7 linked regions of the Macaca mulatta genome follow. The protein of the gene in region 5 interacts with the protein of the main gene of each other region in a pairwise test. Links are inferred from orthologs where the notes say so. Each region holds a gene or a part of one and is shown on either strand. Other genes may lie near its edges.

Region 1 (3,500 bases), on a different chromosome or scaffold from region 5:
GGACAAAGTTAGCGTGCTTTAACCCAGGGGTTGGCAAACCTTTTCTGTAAGGGAGCCAGCTAATATATACTTCAGTTTTTGTGGGCCATGCCGTCTCTGTTGTGGCTCATCTCTGCCATTACAGTGTAAAGTCTAGACAAATAAGCAAGTAAGCAGCATGGTTGTATTCCAATAAAACTTTACTTATGGAAAAGGAAATTTGAATTTTATATAATTTTCACGTGAAGGGTTTTTGTTGTTGTTGTTCTTTTATCCAAACATTAAAAAATGTTAACACTACTCTTAGCTTGTGGGCTGTAAAAATCAGGTGATGGACCAGATTTGGCCATGGTTTACCAGCCCTTGCTTTAACCTGAAAATGGAGGAAGTCAGTAGTCCAGAAGAATAAAATTTAGCAAGCATAGTTTAGAATATGAGTAGCAATATTAAATCTCTAGGCATATATATTTTGATTTTTGTGGATATTAGAACTGTACATTTTTGTGTTTTTTACTTTATATTTTGCAGACAGTTGATATTCATAAAGAGAAAGTTGCAAGAAGAGAAATTGGTATTTTGACTACCAATAAAAACACTTCAAGGACGCATAAGATTATTGCTCCAGCCAACCTTGAACGACCAGTTCGTTATATTAGAAAACCTATTGACTATACAATTCTAGATGATATTGGACATGGAGTGAAGGTAGGTATAATTTTTTTCAAGCTTTTAAAAGTAGTAACCCATAATGAAACTAACTCTTGAGAAAATTAAGCTTTTTATCTATCTTTCCTTCCTAGAGGACAAAGTCTTGGCCCAGTTGTCGTGAAGATTCCTTGCTACTATAACTGTTTTACCCTTTTTGCTTTTTCTTAGTGCTGTATTCTCAAGTTTTAAACAATCATCTTTGAATGAATTGTATTTGCTTAGTGATGATAATACCTCCTATGGTTTGAGTAAATAAGTGTAGTGTAATCTTTCCCATTTTAATTTAATATGGCTGATTAAAAAATCATTCATCATGTTATTATGAAAGTGTTTACCTTATCAGCAGACTTTTGGCATTAGTTTTCAAAAACAACATATATTAATAAACATGTAGTTTGAATTTTTCTAAAATAATTTTATCCCAACATCTTGGGCAAAAATAGTGTTAGGTGAATTAATATTGCCACTGCTTTTGAGTGTATAGCTATTACATATTTTGACTGTCTTTTAAGATGTATTTGGGTGCCTAAAACATGGAAATTTCATTTAAATTGATATTTGAACCTAATGATTCAGAGCTTTAGCTGAGTATCAACTTACATCTGATCAGTAGTTTGAAAGACAGTGACTTATCAGATATGAGTAAATAAATATACATACGTACATGCTTATAATGATACTGTACAGTTCATGTAGTTGATTTTTTTTCTAATATAAGCATACTTAAAAAACACACACTGTTATGGATGGAAATCAGTTAAATCTAAATTTAATGTAGATCTAGGTAAAAAGAAAATATACACTGTAAATTTATTTTTAAAATCTCTCTTCAGAGTTTTGATCAAGCACTATTATCTGGAATATGGTATTTAATTTAACTTTTCTGAGACAAGGTCTCACTCTGTCACCTAGGTTGGAGTGCAGTGGCACAATCATAGCTTACTCCAACCTTGAACTCCTGGGCTCAGATGATCTTCCCGTGTCAGCTTCCCTGGGACTACAGGCACATGCCACTGTGCTGAGCTAAATTTTTTGTTTGTAGTGACAGGGCCTGTCTGTGTTGTCCAGGATGGTCATGAACTCCCGTCCTCAAGTGATCTTCCCATCTTGGTCTCCCAAAATGTTGGGATTACAGGTGTACAGGATTACATTGTGCCTGCCCAATATTTAATTTTATAGCCAATACCTACATGCATTTAGATTACTAATAAGAGCATGTTAAAATAAGATGTGTAATTGGATGGTTAGTTAATAACTGAAATTTATTCTAACTTGGGAAAATTTATTCAAGGCTAACAACTGCTAATGGAATATTTTAGAATACTGCCAGAATCTAATGCCAAAAAGATACTTAGAATATAAAGTGTGATATTTCTGTTTGCCCAATTATGTAAGAAAAAAGTAATCTGATTTTTTTTATATATATAATTCATATGTTTACATCCCCCATTCTTATAATTCTCAAAGTAAAATGTTTTTCTTTTAGGATTCTAGCCCCTTCATTTTTTGACTTTCCGTGTTTAAGGGTCATTAATTTGAAGAAATCTTTAATAAAATTAAATTTTTGAATAAAACAATGTCTTAAATTCATCAAAGAAACTTCTGTTCATGACACATTCTGCTTTAACCACTCTTTCTATGATCTACTGAAACATTATTTTGTTAATGCTGAATGCTTAACTTGTTTTTTCTTTTTTTCCTTTCTCTTCACATCCTGAAGTTTCAACTAACCTTTCAATGCTTTTTTTCCTTACCTCTTTTATTTGCTCCATTTATGCATTAAGTGGTTGCTTAGATTTAAGGTAAGAGATTCCAGGGCTGGATTTCCATTCTTTGTTCTTATGTAGAATATTACATATGGGGAGTTAAAGAGATAGTTAACACTTGGCCTTTTAAAACCCAATAAAGAATTCCTCCTTTTTGTTTTACTTTTTGTCATGCAACTTTGTGGTGTGTCTTCATGTTCCTTGCGGGCAGATATTTTTGTCTGTTTTGTTCACTGCTCTATCCTTTGTGCCTAGAACAGTACCTGACACACACATTAGGTGCTTAGTAAATATTTGTTGAATGAATGGTTATTTTGTAATGTTAATATATTTTGTGAAACTGAAACGTGAGGTACCCTATCATAAAAATGTTATGAAATATAATTAGCTGGATTTTTATAAATATAGAGACTTTGTTGTGAATTGGAGGGCCAATTAATGTGCTTTATTTTACCCTCCCCCTGTGTAATAGCCTTTTTATTCTATAAATGGTGCGCTTTCTGATATACCTTATGGACAATATGTCATTATCTTTTAATCAGTATAAAGAAATTGAGAAGCAGAAAATATTCAGTGGCACAGGGTTTTTTTTTAAGTTGCAGTATCATATTTTTGTGGAAAAATTATTCTTTTTGCCAAATAGCTGAATAAAGAATATATTTCAATATAAACTTTAAAAGTTTTTAAAGGTGAATATAATTATATACAAAACATCAAAAGCCTATGACAATATTTAACAGAATATCAATTAAGAATTAGAGATATTTCCTGTTATGATTCGTTTCAATAATGTTTTGGTATTTTGGAGGATTCGTGGTAAAAGAAATTCAACTATATTCAAGAAGCCTGCCTAAAATAGAAGGTTACTACAATTATATACCAAACTTAGCATGCATTTCTTCTTTGATTTTTTTTTGTAGGTGAGTTTCATAGTTTATTTTCAAATATATATTCCTCCCATCTAACACCCATTATTTGCCATATCTTCAGTGTAGAAAGTGATGACAAGATGACTGAGCTTTGAATCATTAACTAGTACTAACTATG
Region 2 (3,500 bases), on a different chromosome or scaffold from region 5:
GTCTCTCCCCTTATCCTACAGTAGCTCCCCATTGCACTCAGAGTAAACGATTTTTTTCAGGGACCTATAATGCCTTCACAGTCTGGCCTTATCTCCTGCTATGATGCCCTCTCACTCCATTCTTTCCACACTGTCTTGCTGTTTTCAGACATGAGTGCATCAGGCTCACTTCCGTCTTGGAGCTTTTGCATGTGCTGTTCCCTCTGCTTAGAAATGTCTTTCCCTGGCCGGGCGCGGTGGCTCAAGCCTGTAATCCCAGCACTTTGGGAGGCCGAGGCAGGCGGATCACAAGGTCAGGAGATCGAGACCATCCTGGCTAACATTGTGAAACCCCGTCTCTACTAAAAAAATACAAAAAACTAGCCAGGCGTGGTGGTGGGCGCCTGTGGTCCCAGCTACTTGGGAGGCTGAGGCAGGAGAATGGGGTGAACCCGGGGGGCGGAGCTTGCAGTGAGCCGAGATCGTGCCACTGCACTCCAGCCTGGGGCACAGAGCAAGACTCCGTCTCAAAAAAAAAAAAAAAGAAAAGAAATGTCTTTCCCCAGATATCTGTAGGGATCACCACTGTCCTCCTCCAGGGCTGTGCTAAAATGCTGTCTTATCGGTGAGGCCTCCCCGACCCCCTATTTTAAACCCTGTACCCTCTTCCCACCCCACATTCCCTATCCCCTTGCTTTATTTTTCTCCATAGCCTTGATCACTGACATGTTGTATGGTTCATCCATCTCCCAAGTGGTCTACATTTCCACCTCTGGCCAAAAGGCTTTGTTTCAGCTGTGTGCTTGGTTCTTCAGTGGTCTCCTTGACATCTCACGGGACCCCTCACAACATATTGGAAAGCAGCCCTAGATCCTCTTCTGCATCTGCTCCTTTGTCCATCTTTCTCCTCCCACTCACTGGTACCTCTTGCCCTTAAACCAGAAGTCTAGGGGATCATCCATGACCCGCCTCCGTCTCCAGGCCATCTCTAACTCTTGTCCCTTCTACCTCCTGCATATATTTTGAACTGTCCGCTTGTCTTCATCCCTGCTGTCACCCTTGTGATGCAAGCCACCACCTCAGCTGGACAGACCTCTGCCGAGATCTTTCTGATGGCCTCCACTGCCTTTCTTGCCCCTCTCTGATCCATTCCCAACACAGCAGTCAGGGATACTTTTAAACAATGTGGGGTTCAGCCAGGTACGATGGCTCATGCCTGTAATCCCAGCACTTTGGGAGGCCAAGGTGGGTGGATCATCTGAGGTCAGGAGTTTGAGACAAGCCTGGCCAACATGGTGAAACCCTGTCTCTACTAAAAATACAAAAATTAGCTAGGTGTGGTGGCATGTGCCTATAATCCCAGCTGCTTGGCAGGCTGAGGCAGGAGAATCACTTGAACCCGGGAGGTGGAGGTTGCAGTGAGCCGAGACTCTGCCACTGCACTCCAGTCAGGGCAACAAGAGCAAAACTCGTCTCAAAAAAAGAAAAACAAAAATGCGGGGTTGGACAGCATCACCCTACCCCGTCGATCCCAGCTTCAAGCCCACTAATGGCTTCCCAAGCACTTGGAAAGAGATGCAGAATCCTCCTGCAGCCCACGGGCTCTGCATGCTGGGCCCCGCCCACCTCTCCACTGTCGACTCCGCCCCCTCTGCTTGCTGTGTTCCTGCCATCTTCCTTTTTCACTTCTGGATTCCACTGTATCCCTTCCCAGCCCAGAACCTCTGCACCTGCTCCCAACCCACTTCTTCGACCGGCATTTGCTCCCAGAGGAGCAATCCCCTACCCTCCTCCCTAACCTCAGCCGCCTCAGCCAGGCACCCCCAGCATGTTTCCTCTTGGTCTCTCCGTCCTTGCCTCCCTGTCACTGCTACAGTTGGCATTAATACATTTATTCTGGATTCCTGTGTTGGTTGATGTCTCCTCTCCTAGGCAGCAAGTTCCAGGAAGGCAGGAAAAGCCCTTTCTGTCTTACTCCCCATTATGTATCCTGTGCCCAGCAAAGTGGGACCCCCATGCTCGGCTCTCCATGGCTCTATGTTAAATGGATGAATGAACAAATGGACGGTGAGAGGTGAGGCTGACTGACTGTTCAGAGGCCAGAATCGAAGATGAGAGTTTGGTCTTTGTTTCTGGAGGCAGTGAGGAGACCCACAGGGCACAAATACTTGAATGAAGAAACCTGATCGATGACTTTTTTTTAACCTAATAGTTCTGCAAGCCAGGCGCAGTAGCTCACGCCTGGAATCCCAACACTTTGGGAGGCCAAGGCAGGCGGATCACCTGAGGTCAGGAGTTCAAGAGCAGCCTGACCAACATGGTGAAACCCTGTCTCTACCAAAAATACAAGATGAACTGGGCGTGGTGGTGCACACCTGTAATCCCAGCTACCCCGGAGGCTGAGGCAGGAGAATCGCTGGAACCCAGGAGGCAAAGGTTGCAGTGAGCTGAGATGCGCCACTGCACTCCAGCCTGGGCGACGCAGCGAGACTCCGTCTCAAATAATAATAATAATAATAATTCTGCGAAGGAAGTGTGTCCTGCTTCACAGGTATGGACACAGGCTCAGCGAGGCTAAGTAATAGTTGAGGTTAACAGCTAGGAAATATCTGAGCTGGGATGTGAGCCTGCTCTCTTTGACTCCAAATCTTCACATTTTTCTGTTTGGACCTTCTACCTTGACCCCTTCACCTCCTCCTCTTCCTCTTTCTCTTCCTCACTGGCCTAACCAAGTCCTCCTGTCACCCCACAATATCTGGCATCTGGCCCCACTTCCTCCGTAGAGTCCTGTGGGGTTTCTTGTTCTTTCACTTCTGGATTCCACTGAATTCTTTCCCAAAACCTCTGCATCTGCTCCCAACCCACTTTGTTTGTCCTGCAGGTCTCAAACGTCATTTCCTGGGGCTGTAGAGTACCTCTTGCCCACTGTAAGGATGTAGCTGCCTCCGGATAGAGCAGGACAGCAAGGGGCACACCACCAGCCTGTCCCAGGACCCCAGCATAGTGGTGATCACTAGCACTCCTCTGGGAGCTTGACTCTCCCACAGCCTCAGAGGCAGGTCCTTTCGTTATTGTTCCTGTCCTCATGGGTAAGGACGTGGTAGGAGGCAAAGGCATGAAAGGCCACATGTCAGAGGGAAGGCGCTCCCGTGGCCAGCTTGGTCTGATTGCTTCTTGCTTCCTTTCAGAGGCCCTCTACACAGAGACAAGGCTGCAGTTTGATGAGGCAGCCAAGCACCTACAGAAGCTGGAAGGCACCACCAGAAAGGCGGTTTGTGCATCTGTGAAAGACTTCAACAAGAGCCAGGTATACGTACTCCGAGACCCCGGGCTCGATGACCGGAGGGGAGGATGAGCCCACTACGGCTTCCCAAGGCTCTCTGGCCTCCCTGGGATCCCAGTCTCTGCCTGCTTCCCTGGTCACATCACCAGCCCTGACAGAGACCCTGATGGGCTGCCTGATTATGCCTGATTATGGAGAAGGATGAGACCCAGTCCTGTCCCTTAGCTCTGAATCTTGG
Region 3 (3,500 bases), on a different chromosome or scaffold from region 5:
TCCCAGGAGAAGCAGCACCTTCCAAAGCCTCCAACCACCACCCCAGATTGCCCAAGACTTGCAGGGATTCCCAGAACACAAGACTAAGCCTGGGAAATCCCCAGGCAAACTGAGAGAGTTTTCACCCTACATCGACATCAATGGCACTTGTGACAAGCAGACTCCTTCTGACTCACCTTCTGGAGCTAACGGGGAAAGGCAAGGCAGCCCAAGTTGTGTGACACAGCTCAGAAATCAGAGTAGGCCTTGGCCCCCAGCTCCTTCCCCAGTCCACTGAGGCACAAGCACACACACACACACACACACACACATAGCTCACACACATAGACACACACAGATTGACACAGAGACTTACACATGCACACAGATACACACACATACATGCATACAGACAGATATAGGCACACAGACACACACAGATAGACACAGAGACATACACACGGCACACACAGATATACACACATACATGCATACAGACATACACAGACACACACAGATACACACAGACATACACATATATACATATATACATGGATACAGACACACACAGACACACACAGACACACATACATGTACATAGGTACACATGCACACAGATATACACACACAGGAATACAAAGATACATGCACATAGACACACACAGACACACACAGAGAGGCACAGACACACACACAGAGACACACATTAGATACACACACATACACATGCACAGACATGTAAGCACCACATACACACATATGCACACAGATACACACATGCATACACACAGACACACATATAGACATACGCAGACACACAGACACACATAGACATACCCACATGCAGACACACACAGACACACACACATATAGACATGGGCAGACACACACACACTCACACACCTCCCTCTGTTGTCAGCTCCTCCCAGTCCCTCACCCTGGGTCTGGCCTGGCCATGGTTAGTGGAGCTCCCCTCGCAGCCAGAAGAGTGTAACGGAGACTCACTGTGTACCTTTGATGCTGTAAAATGAAAACACTAATCTTCTGAAGTATGATATTGATCACAGCTACATTTATAACCTGACTATTCTTGAAAATTACATATCTGAGGCGAAGAAACACAATGTGAGACGGATTCCGGAATGGACATGGGTTCACTGGGTGGTTTTGTGTTGAGTGCTGTTGAGGGCTGCAGACAAAATAGACAGGGAGAAACGTCAGGCCGGCCTGTCCACAGGGAGATGGAAGCCGCATTAAACACTGTGATCTGGCCTCATATTTGGGCTTGTAAGAAGGACTATGGAAAATTCCAAGGGCAGCCCGGTGCTGGGAAGAGAAGGGATCAGGCCATCTCCCGCCAGGAGGATGTGGTGTCAGGTTTCCCCTGTGGTCTGATGTGGTCAATGGCACTGGGAAGGTCTTCAAGCCCAGGAAGCAGCCTGGCCAGGGCAGTGGGCAACACCAAGCCCAGATGCCAGGAGAGGCTGTGTCTGGCTAGAGGATGGTAGTTGGAGCCCCATGGGCAAGGCTGTCGGGCCAGCACCTGTCGGGCTCTGTGGGCAGGCTGAACCCTTGAGAGGGATTCTCCAGGTGACAGAGAGCCTGCGGCCTCAGGGGTGGGAGTTGCATCAGAAAGAGGGTCCTACAGCCACATGGGGGGCATCACGGAGGCCAGGCCAGGGGCTGTGCAGGCTCAGGTCCTCCAGGGAGCAGACCCCAAGGCAGAATTCCAAGTGCAGGAGACACACAGGGGAGAGACTGCTGGTGAAGGCAAAAGAGGAGGAGAGGGTTGGAGGCAGGGCAGAGCCTCAGTCCTTAGAGGAGGCCCCTGTGGAACCTGACTCAGTGCTCAGCCGTGGACAAGACGGCAGCACCACAGCTGGAAGTGCAGCTGAGTCCCCCTCACTACAGGCTCTAAGCAGTGCCTGGGCAGCCCTGGAGTCTTCTAGAAACCTCCAGAAGCCAAATCATGCAGACCTGAGCAACGCAGTGGGCCATGGGACTGAGGAAAGGGCCTGGCAGGTGACGAGCACATGCGGTGGAGGGAGGGGATGCAGTTCAAGGACCAGGGGATTTCTAACCTGGGCACCTAAAGGAGACTCCATTCCGCAAAGAAACTTACCTGAAATATTTGAAAAACCGAGGTCCAGGTATAGAACAAATCCATAACCTCAGACACACAGGGACGCAATAAATTATGTTACAGTGCTTTATTTATGTTACAGTGCTTCACTTGAATTGCTTTATTTATGTTACAGTGCTTCACTTGAATTGCTGCCTGATTGTTATTAATTAAATCAATAGATGACTTCTGATGAGAGGTGTGGAAACACAGGCTCTGTCTCTGTCCCCTTAGTGTGAAGACCAGAGGGTGGAGTGCCTGTACGAGGCACTGAAGAGGGCTGGAGACAGGCTCCTGGGCTCCTTCCCCACGGCCGTGCCCCTGGCTCTCCATTCCTCCATCAGCTACCTCGGCTTCTTCGTCAACGGCAGCCCTGCAGACATCATCCGGGAATTCGCGATGACCTTCGCCACGGAAGCATCTCTCTTAGCAGGTGGGCAGCCCTGACCAGTGGCAAACACAGGGCCGGGTTCACAGCGAGTGAGCTCTGTGCAGCAGGCATGAGCTCCTGGCACATGGATTTCCATGGGTGGGTTCCAGGGGAGCAGAGCCCAGCAGCAACGGTGGGATGGCTGGGTGGGCTTTCTTCCAGGCTCAGTGGCTGCACCTGTCCTCACCCAGGCACTTCCAGTTCCCACTTCTGGATTTTCAGCCAGGTGCCTGGACATGGCCTTAACCTGAGGCTGAACAATTAAACTAGCGCCTCCCTTCGTGAGCCACTACATCCTTCAAAAATGTAAGCCGTTAGAAAGCTTCCGGACCAGCTTTGGTCTTCTCTTTAGGCGGGAATAACCTTTATTCGCATTATGTGGTTTTTCAAATGCTTAGCTGTATGCCAACAGCCTGGGAAAGTGCCCCAGAAGGGTGTGCCAAGCATCAAGCCTGAGTGGGTGACCGTGATGGGGTTGGAGGCTGGGGCACATAGGGAGTCAGGGCCTCCCCCGCTCGGCCTCGAGTGGGAGACACACAAGTCCTACATGACTTATTTCTGTATTTTCAGTATGAGCTTAGTGCTCTCTCCTTGGCCTCTCCGGGGAAAGATTATGTAGACTCATATTGAGAATCATCAAAATTCCCTTCTCTCCAAACACCAGCCCTGGTCTGGAGACCAAAGCTACCACTGGGGTTTAGTGGAAAGGATTGTGGACTTGATGTCAGAAGATGTGATTTTTTTCTGTGTCCCTGATGAGTGGCGTGACCTTAATCAAGTCATGTCCACTGTCTCTGTCTCTTTTTCTTTCTCTACAAAACAATGAGGGCTCTCACTCTTCAAGAACAATGTTGCCTGAGTCTGTGGCCCATCCCACCATAGTTCCCAGGATACAGAAGGCACTCAGTATTGCCGTGATTTGTCAACTCTAAAATCTGATGAGGCTGCAGTGCCTTGGTGGGAGGGCTC
Region 4 (2,848 bases), on a different chromosome or scaffold from region 5:
AAAAAACTTGGTCCAAGAAAAAAGAAAGTTAAAATATCCAGTTTTTAAAAGTTGTATATATTAAACTGGGAGATTGCCCTCTCTTCACATATTATTCATGCATTCTGGTTTATATGATACAGTTTTGGAGTTAAAAGTAAATTTTCTCTGTCAGCATTGTGTCACTGAGCCATTTTCCTCAAAATTTGCTTTTTAAGAAATAGCCTGTGGGCTCGAGACCTCCCTGCAGTCTGCTGCTGAAGCAGTTGTTCAGAGAGCTAGAAGAGATTAGGGGGGCAGTCTTTCCATTAACAGCTGCTTTGATAACAGAACAAGAGTCAAGCTTATATGGTACAGATAAGACAAACCTTGGTATTTTATAGACAATTTTAGGTAAACTTTTATAAGCTAGGCTTTCTTAAACTACATTGTTTATTTGGACCAATGCTGAGAAGCTCTCGAACTAAATCTAAATTTGCCCCATTTCTCTTTTCTACTATCTCTGTTGACCCCTTTATTTCCCTTCCCTGATGATAGGAGATTCCCTTTTCCATGAAGCATCTCTTGGTCTATCCAACAACTAGATTTTTGTTTTGTTTTGTTTTTGAGTCTCCAAATGGTCTGCTTTGGCACTTACCTTCTACTTTATGAGACAGTCTGTTGCATAGCTGGATTATTACGGCTCCCACCACAGCTCCAGATTCTATTCTGTCTGAAGACAACTGTGTATTATCTCTGTAGCCCCTACAACATAAATGCCATTTGCTTCTGCATAGTAGGTCCCCAAGTAAGATGAAGAACCTGCATCTGAAAGATTATGTGCTTTGTGCAGGATTTCACCACACAGTCCAGTGGAGCTAGACTGACTACGCAGAATTTGATCCTTAGTCTGTTTTTTGTTGTTGTTGTTTTGTTTTTTGTGTTTTTTTTTTCTTTGTTACCATACTGCCCTCCCTCTAAGCATGTAAGCATTAGGAGTCTCCCCCATGTCTTTCTTACATGGATACTCACATGACTAAATTTGATTTATTTCTATAGCTAACAGCACAGGAAGAGGATCATGAAGGAAATCAAAAATAATACGCAGATAACCAAAAAGCCATTTATTACAGGACTTGAGAATGTGATTTTTTAAATGAAAGTAATATATAATTTTTAATTCTATCGATAGGTTTACTTAGACTAGTATTACAATAGGATTTTGTTTCCTGAAAAAAAGATTTCCTGCTAATAGTGGAAGAAACTAATTTATAAATATACTTGGTAGCAGAGAGAGAACATTAGCCTGGGTTTCACCTGCAGTTGAGCAATAAAGTTAATAATTGCTACAAGTTGATTAACATTTTTGCAGAATTGTTTACCGGAGCCTCTAATAGAGATCAAATTAATTAAATTTCACTTTTTCTGCCTCCCCTTTTTTACCATTTAGTAGATGTGCTAATAAGCAGCAAAATGGACAAATTGCTTGATAGGAGGTGCGGCTATCTTGGACTCTTAGAATCACACGGTTTGCATAGTTAGAATTAATTGAAAACATTTTTTTAACTTCAACTAGTATTTATGCTTGAACATTGTCATGGAGAACTACTTGTTATATTTTATAGCAGAATAAACAGAAGTAGTTTATGTTTTCATTATTTATACATGCTTGTGTTTGTGCTTTTCTCTTTCTTTAAAAGGAAATCATAGGTGGGATGCTGGATATAGAACCAAGACTTTGGAGGAAAGGCATCCGAGAAAGCTTTGAGGATCAGAGGAAAAAAGCACTGCAGTTTGCTCAGTGGTGGAAGCCATATGACTTCACCAAAAGTAAAAGCTGTTGAGGTGTACCTTCCATTTTAAAATTTCTCTTCAGATCCCGTTCAGTTTTATTTCCACTGCATCTAATGAAGCACCTGACCCTCAGGTCGCAGGCAGAGAGTCACAGCAGCAGACTGCTCTGGGTCTGTGACAGCTGCACATCAGGAGATTGTGTTATTTTTTTCCTCACCTGCTTCTATGGACTTCATTTTAGTCATCATGGAGTAAAAACATCTATTCGATGATCTGCTCACATTCCTGCTCTCTACCTACTTCTTGATATTCCAAATTGTTCAGTTAATTTAGAGAAGGCCTTTTCTGAAGGGATATCTAGAAAGCATAGGAAATCCTTGGTTCAGAGGGAAGTGGGTCTGCTTCATGGTCGTTAAGTCTATTATCTGGCTTCTTTTGCATTTTTAAAAATAAGACTTGATTTAATTTTAATTTCATAGGATTTTATAGAAAAGCTCTTAATTTTCTGCTAGCAGTATATAGTATCACTTCTATTCTTTTTGTTAAAGGAAAAGGAAATGTCCCCAAAGTATTAAAGAATTAAATGATACTGAAAATATGTATGATTCAAATTTGTTTTTATTTCTGGATTTTTAAATAGTATCTTTGAATTTTGATGGTTCTAAAAGTAACTTCCAAATAACACATTTTAGGGTTGTTTGGGGTTTGCATGAAAGTTAAAATTTGTAGCTAAATCATTGGTTTTGAGTTGTACTGATTGTCTTAAAATCTTAAGTAATGAGAGTTTTTATCTTTTTGTTTTGTTTTTATTTATTGAGACAGAGTCTGGCTTTGTCACCCATGCTGGAGTGCAGTGGCCCAATCATAGCTCACTGTAGCCTTGAACTCCTAGTCTCAAGCTATCCTCCTGTTTCAGCTTCCCAAAGTGCTGGGATTGCAGGTGTGAATGCCTGGATGAGAGTATGGGGCATTCTGTTGTCCCTTACTTGATCCAAGGAACGTAATTTTTACTTGTTCTCAACTCACACCATAGTCATTTTTTGTAAGTATAGGATTTTTATGTTTTGAGTGCTCCTACTTTTTTTTTTAATGGAAA
Region 5 (3,500 bases):
TCGCAGGTCACTAAGGTACAGATAAGTGGCAGAGAGAAGTAGGAAAGAGGAAAGGGGACAGGAAAGGGACCTATGTGTATTGAGCGCTAATATCTGCCATATGTTTAACAGCCTTTATTTTAGTTAATTGTCTCCTCTCTCCCACCTACAGAAATAGGCCCCATCATCCTTATTTTACAGATGAGGAACCTGAGGCTGGGAGAGGTCAATTAACTTGCCCAGAGTCATGTGGCTGGTTGGTGGCTAAGTTGGGACTTCTTTTTTTTTTTTTTTTTGAGACGGAGTCTCACTCTGTCGCCCAGGCTGGAGTGCAGTGGCTGAATCTCAGTTCACTGCAAGCTCTGCTTCCCGGGTTTACGCCATTCTCCTGCCTCAGCCTCCCGAGTAGCTGGGACTATAGGCGCCCGCCACCTCGCCTGGCTAGGTTTTTTTTGTATTTTTTAGTAGAGACGGGGTTTCACCGTGTTAGCCAGGATGGTCTCGATCTCCTGACCTCGTGATCCACCTGTCTCGGCCTCCCAAAGTGCTGGGATTACAGGCTTGAGCCACCGTGCCCGGCCAAGTTGGGACTTCTTGAGCTCTGGTCTCCTGATTCCTTCCCTCCCCTCCCCTTCCTTCCTTCCACAGAGCATCCCTCTGTCACCCAGGCTGGAGTACAGTGGTGCAATCTTGACTCACTGCAACCTCCACCTCCCAGGTTCAAGCAATTCTTGGGCCTCAATCTCCTGAGTAGTGGGGATTACAGGTGTGAGCCACCACACCTGGCTAATTTTTCTTTCTTTCTTTCTTTTTTCTTTTCTTCTTCTTTTTTTTTTTTGAAACAGAGTCTTACTCTGTTGCTCAGACTGGAGTGCAGTGGTGTGATCTCAGCTCACTGCAACCTCCGCCTCCCAGGTTCAAGTGATTCTCCTGTGTCAGCCTCCTGAGTAGCTGGAACTACAGGCACCCGTCACTATACCCGGCTAATTTTTGTATTTTTAGTAGAGACAGGGTTTCACCATATTGGTCAGGCTGGTCTCGAACTCCTGACCTCAGGCGATCCACCTGCCTAGGTTTCCCAAAGTGCTGGGATTACAGGTGTGAGCTACCATGCCTGGCCTATTTTTTGTATTTTTAGTAGAGGTTTCACCATGTTGGCCAGGGTAGTCTCAGACTCCTGGCCTCAGGTGATCCATCCGTCTTGGCCTCCCAAAGTGCTGGCATTACAGGCGTGAGCCACCACGCCCCGCCTGGTCTCCTGATTTCAAAGCCTGTATGTCCTTCCTCGATGCCGTGCTGGATTTTCAGAAACCCAGGTGCCAGGCCAGGGCTTGCAGAGGGGCTAAAATGAAGCCAGGCCAGAAGACAGAGCAGCCAGGACTCAAACTGGACAGAGCAGCCAGGACTTGGGCAGCAGCACTATTGGGATTTGGGGGCTCTCCAGCCCGTTTGGAAGAGCCTAGGCTCTCTCTGCCCAGTTGCATAGGTTCTCATACTCATGATGGGGGGGTGCGATGGGGAAGCTGGGCATGGGAGAGGATGACTCACGCCCTGAAAGTCCATGAGAGGCCTCTTCTCCTCACATCTGCAGAAACCAGCCTGGACACCAAGTCTGTGTCAGAAGGCCACCTCAAGAGGAACATCGTGGTGAAGACCGTGGAGATGCGGGATGGAGAGGTACGGAGGGATTCAGGCCCAGTCAGGCTCTGGCTGGCCCCAGGGATTTTCAAGGCCAGGCCGTGGAGGAAAGCCTGGGACTGGCACATAGAAGGTCCCCAGTAACTCCCAGGAGCCCCCTAAGGAATTCTGGAGGAGAGCAAGGAACCTGAATGTAATTCCGTTTCCTCAGTCCCTCCATAGGCTGTTCTAAGGGCAGCCTTGGTACCAAAGCCACTAGATTGGGTCCCAACACACGCTGTCTCTTTCTCACCCTCAAACCCGGGGGCCTGGCTTGCCAGGGATAAAAAGAGAATTAAGGTTAGCAGCTTTCACTTCCAACTCTAGCGGAGACAGTTGGAGATGGGGACGGCTTTCCATTTCCAGCTTAGTAAAAGGAAACTACCAGGGGAATGGGAAGAGGGGATTTGGCGTATCCCCCAGGCCACTTCAACCACAGTGGGAGCTCATCTTACTGCAGCAGCTTACTACGTGCCAGGCACGATGCTAAATGCTTTCCCAGTGTTATCTCACCACCCACTCTGACCACCACGCAAGGCAGCTGTGGTTACTGTCAAGAAAAGAAAGACCTGGGAAGCGGGGGACTTGCCCAAGGTTACACAGCTTCATGGTGGTGGACCTGGGGTCTGCGTGAACTCCTAACTGTTGCACTGTGCATGTTCCCTGTCCCCTGCAGGTCATTAAGGAGTCCAAGCAGGAGCACAAGGATGTGATGTGAGGCAGGACCCACCTGGTGGCCTCTGCCCCATCTCATGAGGAGCCCGAGCAGAAGCAGGATAGTTGCTCCGCCTCTGCTGGTGCATTTCCCCACACCTGAGCTCCCCGCCACCCCAGCTGCTCCCCTCCCTCCTCTATCCCTAGGCCAGCTTGCTGCCCTAGGCTCCGTCAGTATTAGGCCTGCCAGACGGCACCCACCCAGCACCCAGAAACTCCAACTAACAAGAAACTCACCCCCAAGGGGCAGTCTGGAGGGGCATAGCCAGCAGCTTGGGTTAGAATGAGGAGGAAGGAGAGAAGGGGAGGAGGGTGGGGGGGGACCTACTACATCGCCCTCCACATCCCTGATACCTGTTGTTATGGAAACTGTTGCCAGAGCTGGAGGTTCTCTCAGGGTATCTGGGAACTGTGCCTTTGAGTTTCCTCAGGCTGCTGGAGGAAAACTGAGACTCAGACAGGAAAGGGAAGGCCCCACAGACAAGGTATCTTTGGCCAGAGGCTTGTTTTGTTTTTTGGTTTTTATGAGGCGAGGTCTCCTATGCTGCCCAGGCTGACCTTGAACTCCTGGGCTCAAGCAGTCTTCCCACCTCAGCCTCCTGTGTAGCTGGGATTACAGGCTCGAGCCACCATGCCCAGCTCAGAGGGTTGCTCTTCTAGACTGACCCTGATCAGTCTAAGATGGGTGGGGATGTCCTGCCACATGGGGCAGTCACCTGCCCAGATCCCAGAGGGACCTCCTGAGTGATGACTCAAGTGTCTCAGTCCACCTGAGCTGCCATCCAGGGACCCTGTCTGTGGGCGTGCTGTGGGCAGGTGGGAGCTTGATTCTCAGCACTTGGGGGATCTGTCGTGTACGTGGAGAGGGATGGGGTGCTGGGAGGGATACAGGGGGGCTGCCTGGTCCCCAGTGGTGGGTACAGAGAGGTCAAGCCCAGGAGGACTGCCCCGTGCAGACTGGAAGGGATGCTGGTAGAGATGGTGGAGGAGGCAATTGGGATGGCGCTAGGCATCCAAGTAGGGGTTGTGGGTGACCAGTTGCACTTGGCCTCTGGGTTGTGGGAATTAAGGAAGTGACTTATCCTCTTGAAGATGCTGAAAAAGGAGAGAAAGGGGATGTATCCATGGGG
Region 6 (4,223 bases), on a different chromosome or scaffold from region 5:
GCAAAATCCTGTCTCTACTAAAAACACCAAAAACTAGCTGGGCATGGTGGCACATGCCTGTGATCCCAGCTACTCAGGAGGTTGAGGTGGGAGAATTGCTTGAGCCCAGGAGGCAAGGGTTGCAGTGAATCGAGATCACGCCACTGCACTCCAGCCTGGATGACAGAGCGAGACCCCATCTCAAAAAAACAAGATAAATAAATAAAATAAAGGAGAGTAGCATTCTTACCCTTTGATAGCCCATTCTTCTAACTGTGCTGGGTGGCATTCCTGAAGAGGATTCTCTAAGCAGTGTCCAGGTAACCCACTCTTCCCTGAAGTCCTCAGCCACATTATCAAGGGTCATCAGTTCCTAAAGCAAGAGACCTCGATATGCATCAGTAGCTCCCTAGGTATTCTCACCATTGTCTGAAAGCCAAAAAATGGCCATCAGTGTACACAAACAACCCCCCACACCTGATCAGAATGGTCCTGAGGTAAATTCTGTCAACCACAGAGGGTTGCTTTTCTTAGTCTGTTTTTACATACATCTTCTCCTGGCCAACTTTCCCATTACTAAGAGAGGCCTAGGCCTCCCAAACACATGGACAGAACCCAGTCTTTTAGATACATTAACTTTTTGAGGAAAAAATTGTCCACGATGAACAAGGTAAACAAAGGAGAGAGTTGGTAGGTACAATTTGATTTCTGGAAAGCTTTTGATTCTCCCCAACTTCATTTTCCTCAGCAACCAAGGAAATTGTGGACTTAACTATACTCATATTAGTTATGAGAACAGCTGACTTCTTGGCTTGCAGATTTGGGGTCAACCTCAAGGGACAGATTATGCAGAACCCCAAAGAGAACTGTGTTGGATACCACTCTATTTCAAGATCTTAATGGAGTCAGAAATAAGACTGAAAAAGACATGTTTTTTTTTTTTTAAAAAAAGACATGGATAGGTTGTAAAAATAAGTGAAAGTCAATGGGGATAAGCACAAAACACAACTCTTAGAGGCTGAAACCAATCATTAATATATTAATAAATTGACAGCAATATCATGAAAAACATTACTTTTTGGAGGATAGTCAGAGTCAACTACTGGATGGATCAGTAATTTATTCAACAATCAATATGTTGCCAGGCATAGGAGTCACAAAGAAATTAAGATAATGTTTTTTCCCTTAAAAACTTTCCAATACACCAGCCTCAGCAACATATTGAGACCCCTTTCTCTACAAAGAACTTTTAAAAATCAGCCAGGCATGGTGGCATGCACTTGTGGTCCCAGCTACTCAGGAGGCTGAGGTGGGAGGATCACTTCAGCCCAGGAGTTCAAGGCTGCAGTGAGCTATGATGGCGCCACTGCACTCCATGCACTCCAGCCTAGCAACAGAGTGAGCCCCTGTCTCTCCCTTAAAAAAAAAAAAAAAAAATTCAGCCAGCATGACCACCCACTACAAAGAATATTGCATTTCACGGGAGGAAGGACCAGACTAGGGTGAAGAAGTTTTACTCTTTCACATCTTTTGTCCCACTACAAAGCACCTATTTACTACTGGAACACAGATACAGACACAGACACACACACACACACACACACACACACACTTTTGGGGAAAATATTTATGTATTTACAGACATTATTATTGGTCATTTATAAAGTATTGAGTTTTTAAGGATCTAAAAACCATTGCTCTGGTTTAAAACTTTAACAAACAACAATAATGTAATTAGAAAGTAAAAATGGTAATAACAGTTTTCAGTATTGGTCGGGCGCTGTGGCTCATGACTGTAATCCCAGCACTTTGGGAGAACGAGATGGGCAGATCACCTGGGGTCAGGAGTTCGAGATCAACCTGGCCAACATGGTGAAACCCTGTCTCTACTAAGAATACAAAATTAGCCGGGTGTGGTGGCGCACACCTGTAATCCCAACTACTCGGGAGGCTGCGGCAGGAGAATCGCTTGAACCCGGGAGGCAGAGACTACAGTGAAGGGAGATAGCACCGTTGCATTCCAGCCTGGGCAACAAGAGCGAAATCCCCTCTAAAAAAAAAAAAAAAAAAAAGTAGAAGAAGAAAAAGGAAAAAAAAAAAAGAGCTTTTAGTATAATTTTTATTTCTACATTCATTACAAAACACAGCTGCAGGGCCCCCTTGCTGGAGACTTCTTAGCCACGGTTATAGAAACCCTGTTTCCCAGCCCGTCCCTTTCCCCATGCGCAGATGACCTCAAAGGCCCTACAGCTCTGAGGGGCTGTGACTAAGTGCCATTGTGAGAATCTCCAGTGCGTTCACCGGGTTTATTAATAGGAACATGACTGCACGCGTGGGGCTGAACCCCGTTCTTCTTCTCGGTGCTGGGGCCCTAACCAGGGTGCGGCGGTCAGAGGGTGGCAGATCAGCTGAAACCCGGGGACCACCATCGAGAAGCAAGAAAACTCATTAAGAGAATGACTTATCTCGACGACGGTATAGAGACCACAGCTACCTCTCCCACACCCCAGCAAGACCCGGGGGCTCCCAAAGGCCAGCGTGGGAACCCCTCTGAGAAAACGTCTGGGTGGCGGGCGAGCCCCCTCCACGCCTCTCAGCAGCGCGCCGCTGCCGCCGCAGTCTCCCTCCTTGGATCACTCACCGCCCCAGGGCCCAGCTGGGGATGGAGCAGGAAGTGAGTCCTCCACCGCCGAGCCGCACCCGGCCCGCAACCCCGAGGCGGTCCCTCCCAGAACCCGACCGGGATTCGTGACAGGGCTGTGGGGACACAGGTGGGACTCAGGCTTCGACAGCTCGCAGCCGGAAAGTACCGCCCCTGTCCTCTTGCTATTGGCTTTTTAGTTTCCATGGCTAGAATGTTTCTCTGTCCATAGGCTGACAGAGCTATCAATTACCGCCTAGCCTTCTGGGAAACGTAGTCCCGAGCAAGACCTCAAAGGACTCGGAGCCTTGGATATCCAGTTCCAAGCGTTGAAAAGTGCTAAACCCAATTCCCCAGCTACCGGCCCCCAGGAACCGCCTGTTTGGAGCCTAGGGATCTAAATGCCGTACCCTCAGTGTGGCATCTGCTGATGTGAATCTCCTGGCCTCACCCACCTACCGCGGAGCAGCCTGGTGCCCAACGTGAGGTCTCCCGCGCTCTGGCACCTCGCCCCTCCCCAGCGCAGAGCAGCTCAGCCCTCTGGCCTTTGCAGCCTCTCTTCTGCCCAGTCTTCCACCTCACACCCGGCGGCCGGAGCCTGCAGAGTGTTTGCGGAGGCCGGGTCCCAGACCAACTCAAACTGGACATAAGGAAGGCCCAGCAGACGCCCTTAGGAGAAAACAGACATTCCGTATCCTTCCCTTGGCATCAAACTCCCAGGCGCATCCCCTTTCCGTCTGGTTGATAGCCAGAGGAGGCGGGCGAGGGCATCAAGTATTCTGGGAAATGTGATATTGGGCTTCAAACTGGGGAGGCTCCTGGGTCTCATGTGAAAGCCAGTGGTCACTTTGGGTCGGCCCCTAGCTAAAAAATAATGTCTTTCCTTAAAGTGAAGAAAATGTGCCTGTCTACTCCGTTTGTTGATTCAGTGTAATTTAGAAAAAGAAAGACCATTTTGTGATGTACTATAAAACGCTTAGAATTGCTAGCCATAGAGTTAATGTTGAAGATCCCTTTGATGCTAATTCCACCATTCCTTCAACAAAAATAGGGTGCATTTTCCAGTGGATATTTATTGGGAACATTCTATACTCAAGATCGTTCTGGGAACTGTGGTTACTCGGGAATCATACATAACCATTACCTTCATGAAGTTTACAGGCCAAAAGGGGAGATAAACCATAAAAGGTATCAAAATCCTAAGTAGGCCGGGCGCGGTGGCTCAAGCCTGTAATCCCAGCACTTTGGGAGGCCGAGACGGGCGGATCACGAGGTCAGGAGTTCGAGATCATCCTGGCTAACACGGTGAAACCCCGTCTCTACAAAAAAATACAAAAAACTAGCCGGGCGAGGTGGCGGGCGCCTGTAGTCCCGGCTACTCGGGAGGCTGAGGCAGGAGAATGGCGTAAAAACCCGGGAGGCAGAGCTTGCAGTGAGCTGAGATCCGGCCACTGCACTCCAGCCTGGGCGACACAGTGAGACTCCGTCTCAAAAAAAAAAAAAAAAAATCCTAAGTAATATTTTGTCTTTTTTTTTTTCATATAGCCAGTTGCATCTTAGTTATTTTGCTACAATTGTAGTCATCTGCAAGATAACTACATTG
Region 7 (4,070 bases), on a different chromosome or scaffold from region 5:
GCCTGGCTAACATGGTGAAACTCCATCTCTACTAAAAATACAAAAAATTAGCCAGGTGTGGTGGCAGACGCCTGTAATCTCAGCTACTCGGGAGGCTGAGGCAGGAGAATCACTTGAACCCAGGAGGCGGAGGTGGCAGTGAGCTGAGATTGCGCCACTGCACTCCAGCCTGGGCAACAGGGTGAGATTCTGTCTCAAAAAACAAACAAATTTTAAAAAACCCTCAAAACCAACAAAACAGAAAACAAAAACAAAACGCTGGGGTAAAGTGATGGAGTCAATTCCCGGAGGGTACTGAAAAGCACTAATTCAAGAGAACTCATGGAAAGTGGCCCTTCTTTCTCATAGAGGAGAGGGAAGGAGAGAGGGAGAGAGACAGACAGAGACAGAGACAGACAGAGACAGAGAAGAAAGGGAGAGAAGGAAGAGGAGAGAGAGAGAGAAAGAGAAAGCCCGTACATTCTGCTGAGGGAAGCTGCGGGAGTTGATAATTGGGACCCTGAGTAGAGTGGCAAACATCTGGAGCTGCATATATGTAGAGGTGGTGCAGGCAACAAGGGATGAAAACGAGGAATTAAAAAAAAAAAAAAAAAAAGAAAAAGAAAAGAAAAAAAAAGAAGGACTGACCTGGAGGGTCCACCAAGGAATTTCTTTGTAACAGGTAACAGCTGTAATATGACATGTTGAAGTATTAACACTGATGACTGCTTGTCTACATTATTTTCCAAGTGCATGAATTGAGTAGTTACAGGGAAAAAGCGAACTGCCTGTTCCCAACGTCCTACACAGATGAACTGAAACGAAGAAAAAAAAATAAACTTTCTTTTGATGTCAACAAGTTACAGAGTATCATTTACTGTTGAAACCAGGTTATACTGATTATTTTCGATCTGGTAGTTCTTTATTATCATTACACTTGGCTGAGTCATTCCTACGCCCTAAGTACAGACGGCTAGAGTTACCACGTGAGAGTAAAACATTATAATATCAAAATAATTAGATTGGCCACAAAAATTACCCCGGAAAGATACTGCGTAGCAAAAACGTTGGCAGCAAGTTCCAAAGACTTGGCGACGACAAGCAGGGAGCGCGCACGTGCAGCCATACCTGGGGCCCGCCCAGCGCAGCCAAGCGCGCCGAGAAAGGTCAGCAGCAGCCCCGCTCCCACCAGGCAGGCGGTCGCCTGCACCCTGCGGCGGAAGCACGCGGAGGCACAGCCAGGGCCTCCGCCCTTTGCCAGTGAAGGGCACACCCCAAGGTCTGGGAGCATCGTTCTCAGGAAAGTACAAGTTCTTCTTTGATGGAGCCCCAGAAAAGCCTCTCCCGCCCTTCCTCGGCTCCCCAAGGGCAGGGCTGGACCCGGCTGCAGAGTTGGCCGGACACTGACTGGGTCAAGTGACGGTCGGGCTGACCGCACCCCCCACCCCCGGTCGCCCCGGGTCGCTGGTGCACTGCGCCTGCGCACGCCTCCCCAAGGAGTTCGCAGCGAGGGGCGGAGCTTGGCCCGCCAGTAACTCGGTCTCCAGGCACCGGGAATAACAGAAGCTAGCTGAGAGCGCCTGCGCGGCCGTCGGTTGAGGGGGAGGTCGGGTCTGGGAAACTAGGCCCTGGGGTTTTCCCTGAGCAGGAGCGGTGCCCGAGGGCCTCAGGTACGCAGAAGGGCGGGGAGACAGAGGGTCAGCACCTCCTAAGGGCCCGAAGGGCAGGAGAGAGAGAGGACTTGTCCCCAGAGGCGGAGTCCGTAGTGGGGGCGCCCCAGTTGACCCTTCGGGACAGAACGTGACTTCAGCCTTAAGGATCTAAAACCGGCTGCAGCCAGGTCAGGTGGCCCTCAACGCTCAGGTTACAAAACTTTTACCGTCTGCGCCACGGGGACTCCTGAGATGAGGGTTTGACAGCCAGGCACCTGCTCCAGGCCCTAGCAGCCTCTGTGCTCTTTTGAATCAAGCACGGTTCCAGCAGGAGGGAAGCCCTGAGAGCTCTTTGTGCCAGTCACTACCTCTGGGCCACAGCTTGCTCACCTGTAAAATGGTGAGGATGGACTCGGACGGAACCCTTCAGTTTACAGGTGAAGAAACGGGGGCCAGCAAGGGAGAAGTCGCTTGTCCTGTTACAGGCCTAAAACCTGACTTTCAATCCGATGCTCTTTCCACTTACTGTAGAGTATACTGTGCGTGGCAGAGGCTGGTGCTGGAGGAGAGGAGAGCTAGGTGGCAGGAACACCTGTAGCACCTCCGTTTCTCTACCCTCAGGGCCTAACACAGTGTCTTGTGCATAGTAATCACTCACCAAATGGTTTTTGAAGGGAAGCTTTGGCAGATCCAGCACCACTGTCCCCAGAAAAGTTTAAGGAAATGTGGGCAGGGCAAATGTAGAAATAGTTTGCTTTAGCAGACGAGAGTGAACCTCAGACAAACTCTTCGCATGTATCTGGTTTAAATCTCCCGTAGGCATCAGTCCAGGCCCTGAATGGCTGGTCTCCAGCGGTTGGCATCACATCTGCCTGTGGGCGTTATGCTTCCACATAATACAACAGAAGCTCCAGGGCCCCACTCAGCCAAGCAAGACTCTTACGAACAAAGTGACTCTTCCCAGCAGTCCTTGAAGGGGCACCTGAGGAACAATTTCCAGAAGCAGCTTTTGAGCAACAAAGAGTTGACTCTGGATAAAGTCCACACTCACCCCAAATGGAACACAAAAGCCCGGAGCTACTCCTATCCCCACTGTACTGGAATCAGCCACCAAGATGCAGGAAGTGATTTCCAGGGCCAAGTAAAACAAATTTACTCATCAGGCCCTCAATCCTGGTATCCCAAAGCCAATAACCAGGACTTTATCCCCTTTACAAAGAAACGAGTTGGAGTGGACCGGGCGTACCCACTGAAACCCGTGGTCCACAGGAAGTCGTGCAGTACAGGTGAGTCTGGCACTGATGGGGACCAGAATGTCTACCCAAGGCCCCCTGAACTGAGAGAGTTTTCATCCAGGAACTTTGATGTGAGGAACCAGGTCAACTTTTCTGTGGTTGATCCTGTTCTTGCTGCCATGCAGGCGGAGAAGGCCTTGGCAAACTTGGACAGGATGGAGTGGGTGCAGATCCGAAGACTAGAAGCTGCAGGGGAGAGCTTAGAGGAGGAAATCCGAAGAAAGCAGATTCTCCTGAGGGGAAAGCTGAAGAAGACAGAGGAGGAACTCAGAAGGATCCAGACGCAAAAGGAGCAGGCCAAGGAAAATGAAAACAGAGAGCTACAGAAAATTATATTCCCCAGGAGCAGAGTTAAAGGTAATAACAGCAACACCACGCACAAAGCTGTCTTCTCCCCAGAATTTGATTTTGAGGAAGAATTTAGTAGAGACAGGAGAGAGGATGAAACTTGGGAACGGTCTCAACAAAATTCGAGTCCATTCCAGCTCTCTGATTATAGAATTCAGAGACTCAAAAGGGAAAGGCTGGTAGCAAGCAATAACAAAATTCGAGACCGAGTCTCAGAGCCGTCGATGGAGAAGTTCTCCCCGCCTTCAGAAACACCAGGCGGTGCTTTGCAGGGATCTGCCAGAAATTCCAGCCTGTCCATGGCACCAGACTCCTCAGGTTCCAGCGGCTCCACTGAAGAGCCACAGCTGGGTGAGTGCAGCCACTGTGGGCGAAAATTCCTCTTGTTCAGGCTGGAGAGACACTCCAACATCTGCAGCAGGATACAGGGTTCCAAGAGGAAAGTGTTTGACTCCTCCAGGGCCCGGGCTAAGGGCACAGAACTAGAGCAATACTTGAACTGGAAGGGGCCAGCTTCAGCCAAGGTAACAAGAGCCTTATGGATGTGACTTGGTGTGGGGATCATTGTAGGGGTCTGTTTTGTCATCATCAGTTTTCTTTAGGGAAAATTCATGTGTCATGTAGGAAGAATTGACGTCTAGAATTAACATTTCTTGATTACTACTGTATGCCAGCATTGTGATGGGAGCTTTGCATGTGATCCTCGCATTTATCTCTCATTTTATCAGTTCAAAAATCAAGACTTGGACAGGCTAAGTAACTTGCTTGAGGTCACAAACAGCTTTAAGTGGCAGAG

What was found.
Region 1: the proteins of GFAP (region 5) and ABI2 interact in binary tests that used the Homo sapiens proteins (3 or more experiments, as listed by UniProt). The link is inferred for Macaca mulatta from reciprocal best matches to the Homo sapiens genes GFAP and ABI2.
Region 2: the proteins of GFAP (region 5) and RIBC2 interact in a two-hybrid assay, tested with the Homo sapiens proteins (2 studies listed by BioGRID and IntAct). The two-hybrid records come from large-scale screens. The link is inferred for Macaca mulatta from reciprocal best matches to the Homo sapiens genes GFAP and RIBC2.
Region 3: the proteins of GFAP (region 5) and UBASH3A interact in binary tests that used the Homo sapiens proteins (3 or more experiments, as listed by UniProt). The link is inferred for Macaca mulatta from reciprocal best matches to the Homo sapiens genes GFAP and UBASH3A.
Region 4: the proteins of GFAP (region 5) and CWF19L2 interact in binary tests that used the Homo sapiens proteins (3 or more experiments, as listed by UniProt). The link is inferred for Macaca mulatta from reciprocal best matches to the Homo sapiens genes GFAP and CWF19L2.
Region 6: the proteins of GFAP (region 5) and ZNF774 interact in a two-hybrid assay, tested with the Homo sapiens proteins (2 studies listed by BioGRID and IntAct). The link is inferred for Macaca mulatta from reciprocal best matches to the Homo sapiens genes GFAP and ZNF774.
Region 7: the proteins of GFAP (region 5) and ZC2HC1C interact in binary tests that used the Homo sapiens proteins (3 or more experiments, as listed by UniProt). The link is inferred for Macaca mulatta from reciprocal best matches to the Homo sapiens genes GFAP and ZC2HC1C.

Annotation. Positions count from the first base shown.
Region 1 is NC_133417.1:108,607,966-108,611,465, forward strand, and holds part of ABI2 (abl interactor 2), read left to right. Parts: intron 1-507; coding exon 508-684; intron 685-3,500. UniProt on the Homo sapiens protein: Regulator of actin cytoskeleton dynamics underlying cell motility and adhesion. Functions as a component of the WAVE complex, which activates actin nucleating machinery Arp2/3 to drive lamellipodia formation.
Region 2 is NC_133415.1:6,058,497-6,061,996, reverse strand, and holds part of RIBC2 (RIB43A-like with coiled-coils protein 2), read left to right. Parts: intron 1-3,167; coding exon 3,168-3,286; intron 3,287-3,500. UniProt on the Homo sapiens protein: Microtubule inner protein (MIP) part of the dynein-decorated doublet microtubules (DMTs) in cilia axoneme, which is required for motile cilia beating.
Region 3 is NC_133408.1:5,072,780-5,076,279, reverse strand, and holds part of UBASH3A (ubiquitin-associated and SH3 domain-containing protein A), read left to right. Parts: intron 1-2,335; coding exon 2,336-2,534; intron 2,535-3,500. UniProt on the Homo sapiens protein: Interferes with CBL-mediated down-regulation and degradation of receptor-type tyrosine kinases. Promotes accumulation of activated target receptors, such as T-cell receptors, EGFR and PDGFRB, on the cell surface.
Region 4 is NC_133419.1:108,185,253-108,188,100, reverse strand, and holds the end of CWF19L2 (CWF19-like protein 2), read left to right. Parts: intron 1-1,658; coding exon 1,659-1,802; 3' UTR 1,803-2,348; downstream 2,349-2,848.
Region 5 is NC_133421.1:69,280,095-69,283,594, reverse strand, and holds part of GFAP (glial fibrillary acidic protein), read left to right. Parts: intron 1-1,537; exon of another isoform or gene 1,538-1,570; coding exon 1,571-1,656; intron 1,657-2,332; coding exon 2,333-2,374; 3' UTR 2,375-3,500.
Region 6 is NC_133412.1:80,237,159-80,241,381, reverse strand, and holds the start of ZNF774 (zinc finger protein 774), read right to left. Parts: upstream 2,801-4,223; 5' UTR 2,621-2,800; intron 353-2,620; 5' UTR 334-352; coding exon 230-333; intron 1-229.
Region 7 is NC_133412.1:148,262,535-148,266,604, forward strand, and holds the start of ZC2HC1C (zinc finger C2HC domain-containing protein 1C), read left to right. Parts: upstream 1-1,270; 5' UTR 1,271-1,649; exon of another isoform or gene 1,650-2,068; intron 2,069-2,450; 5' UTR 2,451-2,469; coding exon 2,470-3,798; intron 3,799-4,070. Other genes in the region: ACYP1 (acylphosphatase-1), read right to left, coding at 1,108-1,270.